2 linked regions of the Rhinolophus ferrumequinum genome follow. The protein of the gene in region 2 purifies or fractionates together with the protein of the main gene of each other region. This does not show direct contact. Links are inferred from orthologs where the notes say so. Each region holds a gene or a part of one and is shown on either strand. Other genes may lie near its edges.

Region 1 (11,464 bases), on a different chromosome or scaffold from region 2:
CTCACCTCTATCACCTCATCTTGTTAGGAGCAGCAGTGTGACTTCCTTGGCTTTTGGGAGAAAGGTGGACCTTGTTGGCAGATGGTAGAGGGCAGCCACTGGGAGTGCTGTGCGCCAGCTCTGGAAGGCACCATTCCCATGGGAGTGTAACAGGTCAAGTCTTCAGCCCCTTGGATGGGAGGCCAGGGACCTAAATGAGCTCAGTGGTGCTCATTGACAATAACCAACATTCTCAATTTTGCCTCAATCTTCTTCCCTCTCCCCTCACCCTATGGATCAGGGAACTATATAAGCCATATTTGAAAACCTTGTTCTAGAATATAATCCTGCCCTGGAGGATTTCTGAGGGTACAGGGAAGCTTCCTAAGGAGTGGGGGTAGGGGAGAAATAAAGAAGAGCAGAGAAGGATCTCTGTCCACAAACATGTGTACCTCAAAATAACCAACACACTTTCCTGTAAAACCTGTTCTCCCAGTTCTCCCTATCAAGGCATCTTTCATTCCTCTCTGCCTTGACTCCATATTCAGTCCAATAGTAAGTTCTAAAAACTCCAAAAGTATACCAAAAAGCCATCTACTCTCCCCATTTCCATAGCACTGTCTTGAGCCAAGCCACCATCGTCTCTTGCCTGGAGGATGGCCACACCCCCTGCTACATGGCCTTACTGCTTCCATACTTGATCTACAATCTTTTCCCGTTCAGCAATCAAAGTGATCTTTCAATGTAAATGAGATCATGTCGTTTCCCTGCTTAACATTCTTCAGTGTCTTACCATTCCATCTAAAATGATATTTTACCCACTTACCATGGCTTAGAAGACCAAACATTTCTCCTCAATCTTGACACTCTAGTCACTGTTTTTTTCCGTTTCCTAGAATCGAAGGGGTTTTGTACTTAACACTTGCTGGTTTTTCTGCCTGGGATTGTTCTTCCCTGATTTAAAAAAACTTTTTAGAGCAGTTTCAGATTCACAACCAAATTGAGTGGAAAATACAGAGATTTCCCTTATACCTGCTTGTCCCCACATATACGGAGCCTCTCCCACTATCAACATCCTGCATCAGAGTGGTACATTTGTTACAATCAGCAAACCTACATTTGACACATTGTTCAGGTCTCAGCTCAATGTCCTCATCAGAAAGGCCTTTCCTAACCACCTGAAATTTAAGAAACACCACCTTCCCCTCCTCCATTTTGCTCTCACATTACCGTTTAATTTTCTTTTTTTTTTTTTTAACAACTGATAAAGTCAATTTATTAAAAAGATTGACTTAAGCATCTGCAATGGTGACTTCAACCTCGACTCCTGGCTCAATACTGATGGAAGTAATCTGCTTAACAATCTCAGAAGGACTGTGCAAGTCAATCAGTCGCTTGTGGATCCTCATCTGAAAGCGATCCCAAGTCTTAGAACCTTCACCACAAGGAGTTTTTCTTGTAGTGATTCTCAGAGTCTTGGTGGGCATCCGAACTGGTCCTTTTACTTTGAGATTTTTTTCCTTTGCGCCTCTGATCAAGTCAGCACACACCTTCTCCAAGGATTTTACGTTGCGGCTGGTTAGAGTAATTCTAATTCGGTGAATCGCCACCTCTGGTTCCACGGGTGTCTTGCCGGTATCTTTAAAAGCCATGGTTGCGGCGCGGCTTCCTGACCGACTTGTTCCTCCGCGAGAGCGAACAGCGGTGAGTCAGGAGCAGGAGCGGGCGAAAACGAACGACGATCGAACCACGACCGCGCCTTCCTCAAAGAGCTAATTTTCTTCATAGCAGCACTTAAGCCTTATCTCATAGTATCATGCTTATTTTTTTTTATTTTTATTGTCTAGCTTCTCTACTAGAAAGGTCAGTGAGACGAGAGAATTCTTTCTGCTTGGTTCACTAATATATCCCCAATGCCCGGATACATTTATATATTTATTGAGTGAATATGCTCCCTAGTCCTGTCTGCTGTCCTGCCTAGCCCCCAACCTTTCCAAACTGCAATCACCACACTCAACTCTGAAGCTTGATTTCAGCAAACTTCTGGCTAGCACACCTGGGCTCTGCATTACATATTCACCACTCCAGTGTCCCCTTCGCCACCCAATGCTGCGTTTCCCACCTCAGCTCCATAACCCAGTCTAGTGCTTGGCCCCATCTACTCCCCACCCCAACACCCAAGCACATCCACACAATACTTGGCAACTCCGAATATATTTAATGAGAAGGTTATGAGGGATTTGGGGAAGCCAGAAACTGAGAATTGTGGGGAAGGAAGGTTGCCAAGGCTTCCTGGAAGTTCAGCCCCTGGTTGTCCCTTCAAATGGTGGAGTCATTGGCCGATGCTATGTCATGCAGCTGGTGGCGGAAGGAGAGTCGGGCTTTCCTGCTAAAGTAGGCACCAGACTCTAGGGAGGGTATCCCTCCCTCAGCCACGATGGGCGCGATAACTGGGCTGGGATCTGGATCTGTAGGGGCAGCTGGAGCCAGACCTAAAAGGGAGATTGGAGGAAAAAGGGAGTGGTGGGTCTGGGTCCTCCTTCCCTCCCCCATGCCCATCCCCAACCCTATGAGTAGGACAGAGGCCAGGGAAGACACTGGGAGTCTTGGGAGGGGTGAGTGTTGGTAGCATCAGCAGGAAGAGGGAGAGGGTATCTTGGGAGAACAGGGCTGGCTTCACTGCCCTTCAACCTGTGCACTGGCCCCACACTCAGGACCCCCATGCTGGATGTAACGCTCTGCTGTCACCGACTTGAACTTCTTAATCATTTTTTAACAAGGGGCCCCACTTCTTCATTTTGCATTCCTGCAAATTTGGCTGTCCTGCAGATTATTTAGCTAGCTCTGTGGGGAAGCAATAGATCCACCAGGGAGACAGACTATCCTTTTCCCTTCACCGGTTTAAGAATTTACCTTTCTCCCAGTGTAGCTTATCAGTTTGCCTGACAAACCCCCCTTTTCCCTCAGTCTCCCCATACCTGCTCCTCTTTCAGTCCCCCGCTGTCTTCGGCACCCACACCATGGGAAACACCATGCCCCCTTGAGACCCATCTCAACAATGGAGACAGGGTGCTGGGAATGGCCAGGAGGGCCCCAGGAGGAGGGGTGTGGTTTCCAAGCCCCCCCACTGTGGGCAAAACTACCACTTAGCTTCAGACCGCCTGGTGATTACAGGCGCCAGGGGATGGAAGGGGGAGAAAAGGGAGGAGGGAAGAGGTGGAGGGATTCCCTATTCAAACACCTATCCATTTTTGCCCCCTTAATGTGGGGGCTCTCTTGATCCTCATGGAGAAGCAAAAGGAGACTGGGACAGGTGTCATGGCAGAGACAAATACAGAAGTGCTGGGACATACAGGTGCAGTGAAAATTCACTACAGCGTTGTTGGGCCACTTGGTGCCAGCCTGGACACTGCTGGGGAGTCATCTGTATTTTAGAATGACAATGTAGAATTCCCAAGATGTAAAAATTTAAAGAATAGTCTATTTTTTTTAGAACAGGAAACTTTACTAGTCAGGGAAATGTTATGCTCTCATTAAATGGTCTGGTAGCTCTTGTCCCCTTTTATGAAGACAGTTGTAATTGATTAATAATGCTGTGCCAGGTAAATTCTAGGGATTTTACATGTTATCTCATCTCATGTAATCATGTCAATGACCCTTTGAGGCGAGTGTTATTACTATCCTGATTTTACAAATGAGGAATTGGAGGCACTGAGAGTTTGGGTAACTTGCCCAAGGTCCCACAGGCAGTTATCAGCAGAGCAGGAACTCTCCCCCACTCCCATCAGAGTGACCGCAGAGTCTACTCTGTTTGCAACCACACTGAGCTTCCCAAGCATGTCCCTAGTAGGCACTGATGCCCCTGGGTAGGTCTGGGGCGGGTGGGTGACCTGAGCCTGGGCTGGGAACCTAAGGTGCAGAAGCCCCTAGCCAAGGACTCTAAATGCCCTCCAGTAAAGCTGCACAAATGTTATATTATTCCCTATGGGTGCCATGATGTGTGTGGAAAGGTTGGGAAGCACTGCTGACTATACTGCCTGACTTAGAAATCTGTTTTTTGTTTTTAAATTAACTTTATTGAAGTAAACATTTACATATAATGTAATGCACACATCTCAGTGTACAGTTCTAAGAGTTTTGACAAGTATATATACCCATGTAATCACCACCCCAATCAAGATATAGGACATTTACATTTCCATCACCAAGTTCCCTTGTGTACCCCTTCACAGTCAATCTTTCCCCACCCCCGCCAGAGGCAACTATTGATCTGATTTTCATCACTACCGATTGGTTTTGCCTGTTTCAGAATTTTATATAAATGGAATCATATAGTATTACTCTTTTGTGCCTGGCTTCTTTCAGCGTAATGGTGTTGAAATGCATCCATGTTACATGTATTAAATCTGTTGGGGTTTTTTGTGTGTAATAACAGCTTTATTAAGAGATAATTCACCCTTGTAAAGTATACAATTCAGGGCAGACGGGTGGCTCAGTTGGTTAGAGCGCGAGCTCTGGGCAACAGGGCTGCCGGTTTGATTCCCACCTGGGCCAGTGAGCTACGCCCTCTGCAACAAGAATGAAGTCAATGAGCTGCCACTCAGTTCCTGGGTGGCCAGATGGCTCAATGGGTTTGAGTGCGGGCTCTCAACCACAAGGTTTCCAGTTGGACTCCTCGACTCCTGCAAGGGATGGTGGGCTGCGCCCCGGCAACTAACGGCAACTGGACCTGGAGCTGAGCTGTGCCTTCCAGAACTAAGATTGCAAGGACAACTTGACTTGGAAAAGTCCCGAAGTACACACTGTTCCTCAATAAAGTCCTGTTCCTCTTCCCCAATAGAATCTTTAAAATAAATAAATACATAAATAAATTAAGTATACAATTCAGTGATTTTTACTGTATTCACAGAGCTGTGCAAATATCCCGACCAATTTTATAACATATTCATACCCTCAAAAGAATATCCATTAGCAGTCACTCCTCTATCCTCCTTTTCTTCAGCTACTAATCTAATCTATTTTCTGTCTCTGTGGATTTACCTATTCTGGACATTTTATATGAATGGAATCATACAAAATGTGGTCCTTTGTGGCTGGCTTCTTTCAATCAGCATGTTTTCAAGGTTTATCCATGGTGTAGCTAGTGTATCAGTACATCATTCCTTTTCATGGCTGAATAATATTCTGTTGTAGAGATAAACCACATTTTGTTTATCTATTCATCAGATAATAGACATTTGGGTTGCTTCTACTTTTTGGCTATTTGAGTATTCCTACTATGGACATCCATGTACAAGTTTTTGTACATATCTAGCAGTGGAATTGCTGGGCCACATGATAATTCTATGCTTAACATTTTGAGGAACTGTTTTCCAAGGTGACTGAATTATTTTATACTTTATTCATTTTTCTTGCTGAGTAATAGTCTATACACCACAAATTAATCAAAATAGAAAATTTCTCTTCAAAAGGCACCATTACTCTACAAGGACAAGCCACGTTCTGGGAGAAAATATTTGCAATACATATTTGTGATAAAGGATTTGTATATGTGTACATATATATGCATGTATGAATCACAATATCACAATAGACAACATGGTTTTTTTAAAAGTTAGCAAAAAACTTGAATAGACACTATAAAAGATCTACAAATGGCTAACAAGCACATGAAACACGGTCAACATCATTAATAATCAGAGAAATACAAATAAAACTACAGTGATGTACTATTTTACTTATTAGAATGGCTAATAAGTAAAGACTGTAAAGATTGACAGTATCAAGTGTTGGCCATGCTGTGGAACAACTGAAAATGTAAGAAGGAACAATTGTTTTGGAAAACAGTTTGGCTGTTTCTTCTAAAGTTAAAGAACACTTATATGACCCAGCAACTCCACGCCTAGCTATTTGCCCAAGAGAAATGAAAACATATATTCACACAAAGACTTATTCCGGAATGTTTACAGGAGCCTTATTCACAATAGACAAAAACTAGAAACCACCGAATGTCCATCCAAAGAAGAGATAAATAAATCTGCTTTAAATAAATTTTGCATTATATTACCTTTTAGAACCTGAAAATGTCCCGGTTTCCCCCTAGGATGTAAGTTTCAGGACATCAGGTTCCTTGACTATCTTGTTCACTACAGTAAGTACTCTCAATGTCTGGCACCGAGCAAGTGCGCAATAGCTGGTGAATGAATGAAAGAATGCAAGCTTACGTACGTTAATGAATTTGTGGCCACCATCCATCCGGCCTTTTATCATGCCTTCCATCTACAAACGCTGGCCAGGACAGGCCCAGTGTGGCTCTCAGCCCGCCTGGGAAGGGGACACCCACAGGTACCATCGCCGAGGTGCATCTCCACAAGGGCCAAAAAGGCCCCAGGGGCCGCGCCGGAGGGGGGTAAAGTGTGCGGCGTCGAGCATCCACAGGGTGGCGGCAAGGCACACTTGGACCGACGGCGCGGGACAGACGGACAGACCTGTTGACTGCACCCGCCGGGTACAGAGAGCAGGCCGCTCAGACTCGCAGCCCCGCATCGCAGAGGAGACCCCCTCGGCCAAGGGCGGCGCGCAAGACCGCGGGGCGGGACGAGGGCGGCGGGGGCGGGACAGGACAGACGAGAATCCCGCGGAGGTGAGGCGGGGGGCCGTCCCGCCCTCGAGGGCTGGCCCTGAGGCCGCCCCGCCCCAGCTTGCTGGGGTGTGGGCTCCGGCTCAGCTGGGCTCTGTCTGCACGCGACCCCGCATCGGCGCTGGTTCGGGCTGCCCGGGTGAGGGGTCCGGGGAGGGGGTGCCGCGGAGGGCCGGGACCCAGGAAGTCGGGCGGGGACAGGAATGGGCCCAGGCTGCGGGGCCTCCTGATTCAGCTGCACACTCAGATTTTGGGTTTTCCCTCCCGGGCGGGGAGAGCACAACTTCCTCTTTTCCCGCCTGGAGCCCCTCTCCCAGCCAGCCTGGCCTAGCTTGAGTCCCGGCGGCTCCCGGCCCCTTGCGACCCGCGGGGCCCCTTCCCCTGGCTTTTGCTCTGCCCCAGTTCTGGGCCATCGGAGCCTGGTGTTCCTGGCTGGGCGCCCTGGTTACGGGACTGGAGGCGGGGTTCAAGGGTTCTGGATGAAGGACTGAGGTAGGGGATGAAGTTAGAGGTGGGTTGGCAGGGCGTTGCAGACGATGGGGCTATCATCAGAGAGAGATTGGGAGTTAGCGGGAGACAGGCGGATGGGGAAGAGGGAGGTGGAGGATATGGTGGAATGGGGGGCAGAGTTCTGCAGGGCAGATCACCTCTCTGAGGCTTCCCCTTATTCCTAGGATGACGGCGAGCCCCGAGAGCCCCTTCCCCTCTGGGAGCGACCTGGACTCCAGCCAGTTACAGATGGAACCCGATGAGGTGGACACTCTGAAGGAGGGAGAGGACCCAGGTATGCAGGGAGGATGGCCCTCAGGGAGAGGACTGGCCTGAGTCCTCCTGGCATCTACACTCTTCCACTTTTCTTTCCTCCTAGCTGACCGGATGCACCCCTTTCTGGCCATCTATGACCTTCAGCCTTTGAAAATGCACCCCTTGGTGTTTGCTCCTGGGGTTCCTGTCACAGCCCAGGTGGTGGGCACTGAAAGATATACCAGTGGATCCAAGGTGGCTGGGCTGGCACCAAGGGTGGGAGTAAAGGGAAGACTGACCAGAGTGGGGGCTGCAACCCAACCAGGGGACATCCATGCAGTTCCTCACACCCTCAGGTGGGAACCTGCACTCTGTATTCGGTCCGCTTGACTCATGGTGACTTTACCTGGACAACCAAGAAGAAGTTCCGTCATTTCCAGGAGCTGCATCGGGACCTACTGAGACACAAAGTCTTGATGAGTCTGCTCCCTCTGGCTCGGTGAGGGGGACCAGACCGCTTCCTGTGAAGGGCCCCTCACCCTGTGGCATGAGATGTCACTGCCTCAGCCCCCATCTCTCCTTTTTGCCCATCTCACCCCCACACTGCAGCCATTCCTCCCCCAACTTCCCCTGCCACTGGGCCCCCTCTTCTGACCCTGGTTACCAGGAAACCTTCCCTGTTCAGCTCTCCCTGTCCATGGTTCTGTGCCAGTATCTTAGCCGGGCTAGATGCCCAAAATGCCCTTGGCAGCCTCCCGCATTTCTTGTCTCTATTCTCAGCGTAGGAGGCCTTCCTTCCGCCAGCCTTTAGGCCTCCTTCCTTGCTCCAAGACCCTCTCTCCAGTGCTTCAAGAACAGAAGCACTCAGCCTCCCACCTCTTACTTGACCCTCAACCCATCCCTTTCACAGCTTTGCTGTCCCCTATCCTCCAGCCCGAGAGGCAGCCGACAGAGAGATGCCCTCTCTACCCCGAACAGGTCCTGAGGGCTCCACCAGACATGCATCCAGCAAACAGGTGCGACCGGACACCAGGTACTCTGGGAAGGCGTTTGGTTTGCAAACGGTTCTGGTCCCATCTATCTCTGTTTCCTATTCCTACTTCAGAAATACCTGGAGAATTACCTCAACCGCCTCCTGACCATGTCTTTCTACCGCAACTACCACGCCATGGTAAGGTTCAGGTGCTGGATGCCTGGGTCTTTTTAGGTGGAGCAGAGTAAGCAGGTCCCCAGGGGACAGAGGACCAGGATCAGTAGGGTCTGAGGGGCTGAAAGCCTGAGTCTCTCCCCTGAGCCTTTGTTTTCCTCTGCAGACAGAGTTCCTAGAAGTCAGTCAGCTGTCTTTTATCCCAGACCTTGGATCCAAAGGACTGTAAGTGTCTGACACCCTTCACCCAGTCACCTGCAAACATCTGGATCTCTCCCTGCCTGATGATGGGGAATGCAGTGCAAGGTGGGCTGGGGGTCTGGATTCCTTATCCAGTATCTCTTCCTGACTTTTCCCACAGGGAAGGGGTGATCCGGAAGCGTTCAGGTGGCCACCGTGTTCCTGGCCTTACCTGCTGTGGCCGAGACCAAGTTTGTTATCGCTGGTCCAAGAGGTGAAGCCTAGAATGGGGCAGGTGGGACATGGGTTGGGGGTGAGGAAGGAAATCATGAGGGCAGAGGAACAGACAGAACCCTTCTGCTCCAGGTGGCTAGTGGTGAAGGACTCCTTCCTGCTGTACATGTGCCTCGAGACTGGTGCCATTTCATTTGTTCAGCTCTTTGACCCTGGCTTCGAGGTGCAGGTGGGGAAAAGGAGCACAGAGGCACGATACGGGGTCCGAATTGACACCTCCCACAGGTAAGGCCTCCTGGTACGGACAGACACTTGGTGAGTGAAGAGCCAGCCTAAGGCCCTGAGGGGAGTTGCATGGAAGAGCCCGTGGAAGAAGGGAAGGCATTTCCACCCCCCTGGAGCTGGCCGTGATTTGGAACTAGGGAACTATTCTAGCCTGATGCTTGGGACTGCTCCTAGAGTCTGGGCCCAGAGAAAGGGGGTTGAGCATAAGCTTGGGGGAGGGACTCTTGATGTAAAAGAAATGCACTCCATTCATTCATTCATTCATTCATTCATTTAACAAACCTGAATGCCTGGTACAATACTAAGTGCCAGGAACCCAACTGAATAAGGCAGATATATACCCTGTCCCTGTGGAGTTACGATTCAGGGACTAAGGGAAGTGGGAAAGAGGTGACAGCTAAATGGGGAGAGCTTCTGGGTCAGACCAGAAGTACTGAGGGTGAGGGTTGTGGTCTCTATTGTTCCTGTCTAGATCCCTGATTCTCAAGTGCAGCAGCTACCGGCAGGCGCGGTGGTGGGGCCAGGAAATCACTGAGCTGGCCCAGGGCCCGGGCAGAGACTTCCTGCAGCTGCACCGTCATGACAGCTACGCTCCGCCCCGGCCTGGTACTTTGGCCCGGTGGTAAGACATTGATGTCCCTTCTGAGCTTGTCTGTGGCCTTCTTGATTGACTCCCTTGGTGTTCTCTGAATCCTTGATCCTCTTTTATCTCCTCTGACCCCTTCTGATCTCAATAAGCCCCCCCTTTGACTTCTCAAATCTCCTGACCCCCTGACTTCTTTACCCACATCTATCTCAATGATTCTCCTCTGATTTTTCTCACCCTCAAACTCAGTAATCTCTTCTGACCCCTGAATTCTCTGACCTCCTCTGACCTTTTGGGCCCCCTCTTACCACACTGACCATACTCTCTGTTCTCTATGATCTCCTCAAATCTCTGATTTATTCGTTCATTTAATGAACATTTTGTAAGCACTACTATCTGCCAGGTCCAGTGGCAGGAATAAGACACAGTCCAGTAGGTGATTAAATCACAAAACAATGGGAACTTGCCTTGTTGGTGGTAGATACAATGTACCGAGCACAGAAGAGCAGCATTTGCCCCAGCGTGGGGTTGTCAGGACTGGCTTCCAGAAGGCAGTAACCTTGATGTTTGCCTTAACAAGATAGAGAAAATGGAGAAGGGCGGTCCATGCAGAGAAGTTAGAAATAGCCTGGTGTGTTTGGGAACCACAGGACTGACTGTTGTTGCAGAGTGAGGAGGAGTGGTCAGAGAAGAGTACGGGAGTTGGCAGCCCCTGATCTGTGCCCTGCATGCGAGGCTGAGAAGGTTGACCTTTATCATAGGCAAAGGGGAGTCATGGAAGGTGGTGTTGAGATTTCTTTTTAACATAAGGACAATAATAGCTAATACTTATGTAGCAAATACTATGTGCCCGGAAGTGTTATAAGAGTTTTACATGTTTTAACTTACCGAGGCAGGTATAGTTATCTCCATTTTACAGATGAGAAAACTGAGGCAAGGAGAAGTTAAGTAACTTGCCCTGGGTCACACCTTGTAAACAGTGGAACCAGGATTCAAATCGAGGCAGGTTGGGTCAAGACTCTGCTCTTAACCATCACACTAAACTGTTAGTTATTAAAAAGTCAAACAATATAAAAACACATTAAAAATGAAAAGTTCCCACTCATTGCACAACCCTTTATCTCCTAGCCCTTACTTCTTCCCCACACTTCTTCCCAACAATCCCATTTCTGTTCCCAGAAGTAATCCTGGCAACAGTTTGATATTTACCCTCCCAGGTCTTTTTTTGCATTTTTTCTTACACTTATGCATATAGTATGTTACTTTTTGTTTTAACATAAATAAGATCATATACTCTCTTCTGTGACTTATTTTTTCATTTAATACATGTGTTAAAGAGTATGCATTAGGTTATTTCCCATTTATCACTCTTATAAATGATGCTGCAGTGAATAGTCTCTTTGCCTAAGCATTTAATAGGACGTATTGCTAGAAATAGAATTACTATGTGCATTTCGTGGTATTAAGGGTATATGCATTTAATATGCTAATAGATATTGCCAAAGTGTCCTCTGAAAAGGCTATAATCAATGTATATTTTCATGGTCTATGAGAATATTCACTTCCCTACGTGCTGATATTGAATGTTACCAGTGACTTTAATTTTTGCCAATCTAGTGAATTTAATGTTATTTCATTTTAATATCACTTTCCTTGTTTACTAGTAAAA
Region 2 (11,680 bases):
ACTTTTCCATCCTCTGACCCCCACCCTGCTCCCTGGCTCTAAATTCCCACTTGCCCAGGCTGTGTTGGGATTGGGCAAAGCCCAGTCTCCCCCCACTGTGAAATCCCATCCCAGTGGCCCCTAGACCTATCAAATAGTCCTCCCTTGAGTAAAGTCTTCCTTACCATGCTTTATCCAGCATCATTTGAACAGTTTTTTCTTTAACACTATGTATAAAGCACTTTGTAAAACTAGAAGAAATAAGCAAGAGAGGTGTAGCTCCTGCTCCCATGAAATGTACAGAGAAGAGGGGAGGAATCTTTAAACTCCTTTCACACTCAGAGCACTTACTGCACAACAGGACGTCAGGCTGTGGCCCTTGGCCTGTGCGCGATCTACAGACGGTATTTCCTTCGCCCTTCGATGGCATCCAGAACCTAACAATTATAACACCGGGTATCTCCCATCTCCCCAAAACAATGTGATCTTTCACATCAGTGGTAAACCACATTCATGTCTCAGTGTACACCCCATTCTGGAATCCAGTTGCTGGAAAACACAGGCAGTATTGGAGCTGCCTTTCTGGCCCGTGGTCTTTGAGGAAGGAGGCCATGCCCGTTCTATATACCTGGCAAGACTGAGTATCAACAAACACTGGTGGTTGTTACTGCCGTCGGCCATAGTGAAGGAGAGCAGCCATGGTCTGTGGCCTTGCCCAGGGCACCTTCTAGGAGTGGTTACAAGGAATACTGACGAGTTCATTAGTCCTGCTGAGAAAAGAGACAAAGGACTGAAGAAATGCTGGGGTGTGGTAGACCAGGGTAAAAGGGATCAAATATATGCTGATTGGTGGTGAACACACAATGTGATATATAGGTGACATATTATAGAATTGTACACCTGAAACCTATGTACTTTACTAACCATTGTCACCCCAATAAACTTTAATAGAAAGAGAGAAAGAGAAAGAAAAAGAAAGAAAAGAAAAGCGTTGCAGGAGTGGAGAGGTGTGGCACTTCTCTTCAGGCTACCACTGACCTGATGGCTTTCTAGATAAGGAGGGCTATTCGTTCAAGACCCTTCTTCTTCTGCTAGTCCACTAATCTGTCAGGGAAAAAGTATTTAAGTGGCTTATCTTTGGTTTGCTGAAAGACAATTTCAGAATGGGATCTCCTTTCAAGGAGACACAGAGTTGAACTACAACCATTTCAGCGAGTTTCATCTCATGGATATCTCCCTAAAGAATATTTCACTTTGGTTTCTTTCTGAGGGAAAGAGGGTTTCCATTGCCAAGGCCAACAGCCCCCTGAATTTCTTCTGTGTATTTTTCCAGTTGGAACTGAGTAGCTTGTTTCTTTAGTAGGGAAAATCTGCTAGCCAAGTTCTCAGCTCAACCACAACTAAAGTAATGTCTCCATTACGTTGACCTAGAAACTGTAATTCAAAGCTACTGTTCTTACAATTTCGAGGTACCTATCCCTGAATCACAGGAGAAAGCTAATGACTTCAAGTTCAAATGGCAAATGCTGGTGCTGATGGCTGCTGGCTTTATATAGTCCCCTGGGAGATCTTTAATTCCAGGATATTTTAAATTAATGCCCTCTGTTCTGAAGAAAATTTAAATTTGTCTTTGGATTTAAAGCAACTTCCTTTAAAAATTAAACTATTAAAAAAAATTCAAAACTTGATTCAGCCTTGTATAATGCCCCTGAAGAATTAAATCCTATTTTCTAATAGTTGGGAAATAAAGAATAATTTCTAAGGCATTTTCATTTCTGGCATAAATACACATCTTAATTACAAGTCAAGTGTCCATCAATAAAGAACTAACTAAATGAATCATGGTACGTCCTCACAATGTATGGAAAGATCATTTATACATATATTACAAGCCAAGAATTAAGACAGTAGTGGAGTTGGAGAGTGAGTGAGCCAAGAGCTAAAATTTTAGAAATAAGGCGGAATTACCCTAGGGGTCAACAAATTAACAATGCAAAGTGGTGTAGTAGGTAATGTAGTCTGGGGACTGGAATGTAAAAGCTTTATGATTTTAGGAATGTAGGCGGGAGAAATATCTGGGAACAGAAATGAGGGTCACTCATCACACCTCCAGGCTTTCCTTCTAAAATCTGCACCAAATCCATTCACTCCTGTCCGCTTTTACTGTTGCCAGCTTAGTCCATGATGTCTACCTTTACTTCTCTTTCTCCTGGATCCTGAGCTTCCTAGATCTTTTCCTTGGTCCTTATCTACCAGAATTTTCTGTGTCTTTGATACTGATTTATTTTAACCCAATGAAATTCACTGAGAAAGAAGGCAAATCCCAAATTGTGGATTTGGAATCCCACAATGGAATCCCAAATGGAATCCCAAATTGTGACTACCTTGATAACTAAGTCAGAATTGAATGAGCTTTCTCTATTCTATTCATTTTTTTTGCTCTGTCTTAGCTATTTCATTTTTTCTGATTAAAGTATGTCAAGACCTCTTGGCACTAAGTCTCGGAGAAAGACTTGACAAATGTCACTACAGATTTTGGATGATTTTCCTAATCTATGTTATCAATTGTACAATAATAATTGTTCTAACAGTTAAGGTGTGAAAATTTTATTAAGCAAATTCATAACTTTAGACTAAGGATTACATGCCAGATCAAAATCATCTGTTCTTCATGTGTGAAATTGACAAAATAAAAATATTAATATTGAACAATATTCTAGAAATGTATCCTATGGAAATAACAATATTCTATTAAAGAAGTGTATCCTACGGAAGCAACTGAAAAAAATACAGAAGAAATAGGCTATAAGGCTATTCATAGAAGCATGGGGGAAGGAGCATCAATGTTTTTAAAAAGTATAAACAGTCTAAGTCTTCAAATATAGAATCACCTTAGACTGTTTTAAAAAATACAGTGCCCTGCCCTACTTCTGATCAAGCCAATCAGGACCTCTCGGAGGAAAGGCCCTGGCACTGGAATTTGTAAAAAGTTCCTCCAGGGGTTCTAATGTGCAATTATCGGGTGAACTATCTTAGGTGAATTTACCCAGTCTTATCTCTATATGCACCATCAACATGTTGGGTGGGGGGATCCCAAATTTACACTTCCAGGGGACTGCCCCCCCTTCCAACTCCATTCTTAGAAACTCAATTCCTTACTCAAGATTTCTCCTTGGATATAGCTAATAAGCACCTCTAATTTATTTATACTTTTAAGTGTTTTAGCTGGTATCACCTGCTTTGTACATTCCAGACTAGTTATATAAAAAGCAGGAAGCAAAACTACTGTCTGACCTCCCTGAATCATGTGGACAGGGCTGTCTACGTACGGTGATTCCATGGGTCTGCATTCAGTTAGTGGTGAACAGTATGAATGTCCTTAAAAACACTGCACTTCATACACTCCCTCTGCACCCCGACCCCACAGTCACACAAGCCCACCACATTTTTAAAAAGGAATTGAACAACAATGTGAGCCCAGCAGCAGTCTGCGATCCCTCCAGCCTGGGACTTGAAGTTATTGGCCTGGAGAGGGCAGCCCTCATATGCACTGTGACTCAGCATTTTCTGGGGCCCGAGACATGAAACGAGATAAAGGTCTTGTTCCCTTCATGGCATTAGCTAAATCTGGAGCGACCTTAAAAACACAAAATCAGGGACTGAAATGTTACAGTGCTCACGCTGACACACGTGATGACCGGGAGGAGAGCATGTGTCGGGGTGAAACACACAGAACTGTTCTGAAATAACCCGTTGACCTGTAAAATTAGCCAATAAGAATGCTGATTACGATTAACACTCGGAAATGGAGAAACTATTGTAAATAAATGAAAACAGAATACAAATATGAACTCTGGTGAGTTCATGAGTCAGGTAAAAAAAATCACTTAGAGCTAAGGAGGCAATTTACACAGCTACTCTTCACTAGAATATCAGAAGCTAAACTTGAACCACGTGAAGGTTTTTTTCCCCTTGCCAAAAAAAAAAAAAAAATCGAGTAAAACTGAAACAAATAGAAAAATCCAGCTCCTTTTACTGTTCTATGGGCAGAAAGAAAATAAGATGAAAATAAGATAAACTATATGAACATTGCAATAAAGACAGTTTCCGGTTCCTATTTTCATGTGGAGCAGGAACTGATGAAGAGGATACAGTAATTGGCAAGCAGGGAGATCTGCAGAGGAGAGACCACAAAAAAGGATGGAGGGGCTGTCCACATGGGCAATTGAGGAAATTGGGGACTCCGGCTCGGGAAGCCAGGAACTTAAATGAATAAAGACGATGAGTAGAGATGTGGAAACAGCCTATACGCAAATGGGCAAAAAAACAATTGCTAACACTTACTTAGTTTTAGCTCCTGTACTCTGTATTAACTCTTTAATTCTCTAAACAAGCGAATGATACCCATTTTATTAAATCCCATTTTACACATGAAGAAAGAGCCTCAGAAAAGTAACTTGCTCAAACTCACATTGCTAATCACCCGCAGGGCCAGACTACCAACCCACACAATCTAACTGCACCATTTTACGTTGCCTCTTATGAACGTCTCTAAACATGAAAAGGAAGTGGGGAAGTTGAAATTATTGAGGCCTGTAATGCATTCAAAACCAGACCACGTGCGGCACTGAATTTCCCCTAAGAAACCTACAGCCTGTTAATGGAGTTCAGACTCACACCAAAATACCATTCAAATCAAACCTTTGTACAAACGGCAGAAGCCAAAGGCAGTGGGAACGCAAATGAGACAGCTGTGTTCACCAAGCTATGGGGTCCAGGAAGAGGGCACTGAGGGAGGAGCGATGGGACAGGATTTGAGGGAAAACGGGGAGTTAGGTGGAAGGAGCGGCGAGTGCGCGTTCACATGAATTACTCCCCAGGGCTTTCAGGATAAATCTCAAACTCCTTGGCAGGGTAGCAAGGCCCTCCACTACTAGGTCTTAAGGGATTCCCAAGGAGAGAGATGATCCTGAGATGCTTATGCTGGAGTCTTTACTACAGTTCGGGTCTCAAAGGATCAGAACATCTTATTTTTCTGTGTCTGTAAATCATTAGTGGGTAGAAGACAGGCTTATTCTTTTGTAACAGTCCCTCCCCCAGTCTGAGCGACCTTACATAGTAGCCCGGTGGTAAGTGTGTAGCAAACACTTTCTGATGTCAATATAAATCAGTGAACATCAACTACCAGTGACTGCCCCAGCCTGGCTGCCTCATACCGTCATCGAGACCTCTGCTCTTAGCTAATGTTAAAGCTCTCCAATAAGAGACTTAAACACGTGATCCAGGTGCAACAGGCAGACCTTTGCTTGGACCTAGATGCCACAAACCAATCATGAAAGCACATTCATGAGACAACTGAAAATCTGAAGGTGGACTAGGAATTAAAGGAATTCTTTTCATTAAATGTGATGATGTGATTATGCTTTAGAAAGTCATCTATTAGATACATAGACTTCAGGTATTTATGAACGAAATCGGTTCCTTAAAACACTGGAGGTCCGGGAGTATGGGGGACAGATGACACTCCTGGTGACATGTGACTGCTGTACTTGTCTTGTACACGTCTTGGGTGTAATTTACTACTTTGTGTGAATGTTTGGAAATTCCCTGATATGAAACGCACACGACACACGCACACCCTCAGGTGCTGCTGTTCATCGTAAGCCCCGAGGGAACCAGACTCAAAGGGTCCACCGGCGGCGGCGTCTGGGTTCTGAGGACGGGCCCGGCGAGCCGGAGGGCCTCCCGCGGGAGCCCGGACCGAGTTTTCTGCCGCCGGCCGCGAAGCTGACCGAGACGGCGGCCCCTGCACCCCGTCGGCACCCCCTTCACGCCTTTCGGAGAGAGCTGACTCCTGGAGAGCGCCGCGCCGTCCTCCCCATTTCTACGCGGGACCCCGGGCGGCCCGGGCCGGGAGGAGAAGCCGGCAGCCGCCCGCGGCTCGGCGGACACCCACGAACCCGGCGGCCGCGGCCGAGCTCTGGGGGCGGGGCTCCGCACAGCGACGTCACGGCGCGCCGTGCGAGGGGTCAAAGTTTAGCTCCGCCCCCGCTTCCCTCTCGTTGTCTCCTCGGCCTGCGCTGCAGCCGCCGCCGCTGAGGTGCGCTCCGTCCGCTCCGCCGCCTTCCTGCCTGAGCGCTGCCCGGCCGGTCGCCATGGCGAACGTGGTCGACACGAAGCTGTACGACATCCTGGGCGTCCCGCCCGGCGCCAGCGAGAACGAGCTGAAGAAGGTGCTGGGGAGCGAGCCGGGCGGGAGGGCGTGAGGGGCGCGGGCCTGCGCGGCTGGGGCGTCCAGGCCGCGCGCTCCCCGGCGGCCCGCGAGCCGGCGCCGGCCGCCACGGGCCCGGGCTGGGGGGCGGCGGCGGCGAGACCGGCCTGCCGCGGGGCGCGCTCTCCGGCCTCGGCTGACCTTGGGCCGCCGGCCCCGCCCGCCCTCAGATGCAGCAAATAAAACCCACCCCTGCGCATAACACGAGGAAAACGCTTCCTTCCTCCCTCCCCCGGCGGGCGCCGGGCGCCGGGCGCTCCTGGGACGCAGCTGCCTGCCCGGCCCTCCCCGCGCCGAGGTCACCACCCTGGAAAAACAGGTTGGGCCGAGGCGCCCGGCGCATCCCGGCCCCGGGAGACAAGCTGTCCGCGCCGCGGACGCCGGGAGCGGGTCGGGCTGGTGTGAGGCCCGGCGGAAGGGAGGGTCGGGCCGCCCCCGCCGGAGCCTCGGGGCCGCCGGGGAGGTTTCCCGGGCGCCGCGGCGCCCGCAGCTCCGCCCTTGCCGCCTCCGTGCGCGTTGACCCCGAGGCGGCGTGGGTCCGCGTTTGCGTGCATTGTTCGTGGGCAGGTAACCTCACGGCCCTGGGCCCGCCGTGGGTCCTGGCCAAACACCTGAGTGTACACTGACTAAAAATAAATGGAAGGCCTCATTATCGCTCCTCGCGGTGCCGCGAACCTGTCACCTCAGGATTTCAAAGCACTTGAGGCTTTGATGGAGCCCCAGCGCATCCTCGCGGGGCTCAGAGCATTCGGATTTGTCAGCTGGGAAAAAGAAGAATGCCCCCAGGGCAGTGGCACGGGCAGTGGAGGGTAAAATGGACTTCCTGCTGCCTTACCGGAAGTGCTGGTTTCTATTATGTAATTCATGTGTCTGAATGGAGTCCTAAGTGCTGTATCTCTCAGCCACCTACATTTATGTAATTTCACTAAGTCTGAGGTCACTCCAATCACGAAGACCCCACATTAGTCCACTGTATGAAAGAAAAGAAAACAGGACCTGCGAGCTTCCCGTGGCTTCTTCCTCGTGGTACATTTAGAGGAGCCTTCGTGAGCAGGGATTCTTACCTACCTTTGCTTAATTTTTAGTAATAATGTTTTGCAGTTTGCAAAGCTTAGCAATCATTTCTTCTTAGAGTTGATTAGCGTCTTCTTGATCTAGTTACTGGCCGTCAAAGACATTTGGCAATAGCAAAAGTGGGGATTTATTAACACTTTGTTTTTCTCTGTGGCGTTGTTTCATTGCTTGTATCTGGCTTCAGTATAACCTATTTTCAGGTGTTACTACTGTGGCTTTGTTATTGGAACAGTTTTAAGATGGAAAATGCCAATAATCCCAATGACTAAAAGATACTTTTTGGAACGTTAGGATTTCACAACACTGCTGCTCAGAATATTAGGTTGTAGTTGTAAATCTTTAAATGGGTCTTTGTATGTAACTTTTTTTTGTCCTTTATTGAAGGCATACAGAAAGTTAGCCAAGGAATACCATCCTGATAAGAATCCAAATGCTGGTGACAAAGTAAGTTATTTGAGACTTTTTCCCCTTGACGTTTCAGTTTTAAACTTAAGTTGCCCTCTTTGAAAAAAGGAATGTTGTAAGAAAAGTCCATTTATGTCCATACAGCCAAGTTTTTGTGTTAAGAGTATTTTGTTTTTGTAGTAAGAATGCTAACATTCTGGGTAGTGGTCGGTGATAACTAGGATTGGAATCAAACCAAAGGCTACTTGTAGCTTGTAGAATTAAGTAGACTCTGAATTCCTGTAGCCTTTCCCCACCCACCCTTCTATTTGAAAATCCAATTGTTTTCCTTTCTCATTATAGTTCAAAGAAATCAGTTTTGCATATGAAGTACTATCAAATCCTGAGAAGCGTGAGTTATATGACAGATACGGTGAACAAGGTCTTCGGGAAGGCAGCGGCGGAGGAGGTGGCATGGATGATATTTTCTCTCACATTTTTGGTGGGGGATTGTTCGGCTTCATGGGCAATCAGAGTAGAAGTCGAAATGGCAGAAGAAGAGGAGAAGACATGATGCATCCACTCAAGTGAATATCTTTTTTTCTTTTTAAAAAAAACAACAACTAAGTGGTTTTTTTTTTTCCAAGTAGTAATCTTCAGTAGTAAGAGAAAAGGTATCCAAAAATGTTCTGTCCTTCATCAGAAAATAAAATCTTCCATTTGCTTTACTGTCCTCATTTGAATTTGATAACCTGGGTGTTTGCTTTTTGCTAAAATCTTGATGGTTGGTGTTTTTACTGAGTAGGAAGGTCGTTTTGTTTTATGCTTCTGATGCTGCTTGTTACTATATGGTTTAAATTTTTAATTACGAAGATTCTCCTCTTTGACGTATTTAAATCTTTCAAATTAACTTTTATTTAAAAACTTAAACAGTGAGTGACTATCTGGCTAGTTTATTTACATGTTATAGTCACTCATTACTTGATCCTCAGTGTGAACTCTTCTAAATTGGTTTCCATGGATCTTGCTGGCTTCAAGCCTGACATTAACCTGCCAACATATGAATAGTGTCTGACCTTGATCTTAGACTGGGAACCCATGAGCCCTCTACAATATGAAAATAGCTATTTTAATTTGCAAAATTGTGAGGTCTTTTATCCTGTTAATTTATTCATTAACCAATAATGATTTTACTAGCAAATGCTAGTAAAGATTGAATTTCAAGTGTTTATTTGTAATTCATGTTATGTAATTTATACATTTGAGTAGATTAGAGGAAGTAAAGCATAATCTGCTACATTGTTTGAGTCTTATTCTTAAATGTGTTTGTATTTTAAAAGAATTAACCCTCAGAAATAAATTATCATTTGGATATCATCGCAACAATAATAGGCAGTATGGATTAGTTCTTCTGGATTTTTCTTTGATATAGAAATGGTCTAGGAAGTAAATAGGATGAAGAGAGTGTTTACTGTATCTTACGGTTCTTCATCTTCTCCATAAGATTTTTTTCATACTCTACAGTAAATGCAGTTTTATTCCCTACTGTTTTCTTTTAACATTATTTTAAATTTCCCTATTAGGACAACGTTTCATTTTGTGTGACTTTATAATATTCCATTCCATGATTTTTTTGATCATTCACCTTTTCTATAGGATGTTTTTCTCTGTAATAAATAGTGCTGCTGTGAGTATCTTTATATACAGCTTTGTCTCTACTTGGCACAGATTCCCAGGCAGGCATCCGTGTTTTGAGGCCGATAAATACAATTAAATTGTACTGTAGAGGACTGTGCCAGTTTAGTCCCACTGGGGAAGGGTGCCAGCTTTGCCAGACCGTTACCCACATTTTTCCTTCCTTGGCCATGTTTGTTGAAGTGAGGGTTTTTCTGGCCTCTTCAATAGTGGTTTTGCATACTAATTGAAATTTAATACGTCAGGGGAAAAGACCTACCTGTTCATTTTCTGTAAACGATTGGTGAAAGGTCTTATGAAGTACAAAAGACAGATGCAACCAAGTGCTTTTGTCTGAGGTTAAGCTGTAGATGTGTCAGTATTTGGAAGTGCTGGTAATGTTTTGTTCATAAGTGTTTTATTCTTATACTGCCTAGAATGTAGGAAGTTTTAGCTTAAGATAAAAATTTTGAGAAAATCCAAATGCCACAAAATAGGATAGGTGCTTTGCAGAATACTTCCAACTATTTTTTGTTCCTCTATTTTAAAGTAAACATGTACTAGTAAAGGAGATTTAAAAACGCAGTGAGAAGGGTAAGACCAGACTCAGTGCATCACTGCCAGATCCTAAATGAAGAGTAGTTTTGAGACTTCTGATGTACATAGGTTTGGTTTTTTTTTTTTTTTTTTTTTAGGTTAGTTTGGAAAGGAATGGTTCTGTAATTCACATATGCTGTGTGAATAAAGGCGAGTTGGGTTTTATCAGTGGTATTTTTTAATAGATTTTTTTAAATCACCCTGTTTTGGGTCGTAGAGCTCTTTGAAAAGCTGATACAAGTTGTTCAGATACACAGTTGTACAGATAACTCACTGGGTTCTTCAGTGCTCTAACACTTGTAGGCTCTCTGTTGAAAAGCTGTTCTTTTTTTCCTCTGACGAACACTTTTCCTCTTCTCTGTCACGCTGTAGATAAGGCCACTTTTTTTTTTTTTTTTTTTTGAGACATGCAATCTGAGTGCCTCCCATAGGTTGTCATATGACTTTGTAGCCTTTGCAAATTGTTTTTGGAGGGATGAGAGCCTTGTAATAGAGCGTGGACTCTAGAGCTAGGCAGTCTGGGATCTTGGGCAGATCACTGAACCTCTCTGTGCCTTGATTTTGTCTTGTAAAATGGGGAGAATAATTGTACCTTCTTCAGAGGCTTAGATTCGGTGGAGGGCTCCTGCCTGAGGCCAGAAGAAGGTTGTGGTGCTTTGGTTTGAGCAGTTAGTTACCAGCTTTATCAGAAAAGGCAGCGCTGCAGACTGTTGGCTTGATCCTGTAGGTTCTGGCTTTGGACACCATATGCACTGTCCAGAACCATAAAGTCTGCCTGCTAATTGGAGCCACAAAATAAAATCTCAGTCAGATGACTTAATGTGTTTTTGAAGTCTTCGTTTTAAAAGGTTGTAGTGGAATTCACTGTACCAGCTGTCATTTATATCTTGTATTTAAGAGAACTTGGCAAATTTGATTGAACCTAATTCTTTTCTCCCCAGAGTATCTTTAGAAGATCTGTATAATGGCAAGACAACCAAACTACAACTTAGCAAGAATGTACTCTGTAGTGCATGCAGTGGGTAAGTGTGTGTTCTTGTCCCTGAAATAAATTTAATCTGTTCTTTCAGTGGTACATTGAGTCTATTCCAGATAAAAATTGTTCATGATTTAAAACTACCCAACACAGAACATTTTCTGATACTTCTGAATGGCAGTTTAAGTACCAGTCATTGGGGGTTGAAGAGCACGGTTAAAGGTGAAAAGCACAATTCCTATTTGTCATGACCTACTGGAATGGTCTCTGGGCAAACATCTAATTGGTACTTTTGCTTGCTGTAGCCAAGGAGGAAAGTCTGGAGCCGTGCAGAAGTGTAGTGCCTGTCGGGGTCGAGGTGTTCGCATCATGATAAGACAGCTGGCTCCGGGGATGGTACAGCAGATGCAGTCTGTCTGTTCCGACTGTAACGGAGAAGGTACACGTGCCCGGCCCCTCTGCTTTTAGTTGGAATGGTTGGGAATACAGAACGGGGAGAGGCTTACAGTTTTTCTTTTTTAACGCACGTTTGTGTTCATCTCATACAGAGTTCTAAAAGGAAAATGTGAAAATAATTATTCCATCATCTAGAGGCCCAGTGAACACAGATAAAACAGTAACTATTATGTTCAGTGAAATGTTCCTCTTTTCTAAATTCCAAAAAGATGGGCAGTGTGCTGTCCTTTTATATTTAAAAGGTGATATTTGATAAAGAGGAAAAAGAA

What was found.
Region 1: the proteins of DNAJA2 (region 2) and PLD2 purify together in Homo sapiens (affinity purification with mass spectrometry; 3 studies listed by BioGRID and IntAct, with this or other methods). This does not show direct contact. The link is inferred for Rhinolophus ferrumequinum from reciprocal best matches to the Homo sapiens genes DNAJA2 and PLD2.

Annotation. Positions count from the first base shown.
Region 1 is NC_046304.1:12,538,120-12,549,583, forward strand, and holds the start of PLD2 (phospholipase D2), read left to right. Parts: upstream 1-6,495; 5' UTR 6,496-6,622; intron 6,623-6,628; exon of another isoform or gene 6,629-6,758; intron 6,759-6,941; exon of another isoform or gene 6,942-7,111; intron 7,112-7,293; 5' UTR 7,294-7,294; coding exon 7,295-7,403; intron 7,404-7,482; exon of another isoform or gene 7,483-7,487; coding exon 7,488-7,618; intron 7,619-7,703; exon of another isoform or gene 7,704-7,719; coding exon 7,720-7,862; intron 7,863-8,273; coding exon 8,274-8,379; intron 8,380-8,468; coding exon 8,469-8,534; intron 8,535-8,676; coding exon 8,677-8,735; intron 8,736-8,871; coding exon 8,872-8,964; intron 8,965-9,056; coding exon 9,057-9,209; intron 9,210-9,681; coding exon 9,682-9,831; intron 9,832-11,464. Other genes in the region: 40S ribosomal protein S20, read right to left, coding at 1,272-1,631.
Region 2 is NC_046298.1:2,995,217-3,006,896, reverse strand, and holds the start of DNAJA2 (dnaJ homolog subfamily A member 2), read left to right. Parts: upstream 1-6,016; 5' UTR 6,017-6,134; coding exon 6,135-6,212; intron 6,213-7,708; coding exon 7,709-7,768; intron 7,769-8,071; coding exon 8,072-8,295; intron 8,296-10,920; coding exon 10,921-11,001; intron 11,002-11,260; coding exon 11,261-11,394; intron 11,395-11,680. UniProt on the Homo sapiens protein: Co-chaperone of Hsc70. Stimulates ATP hydrolysis and the folding of unfolded proteins mediated by HSPA1A/B (in vitro).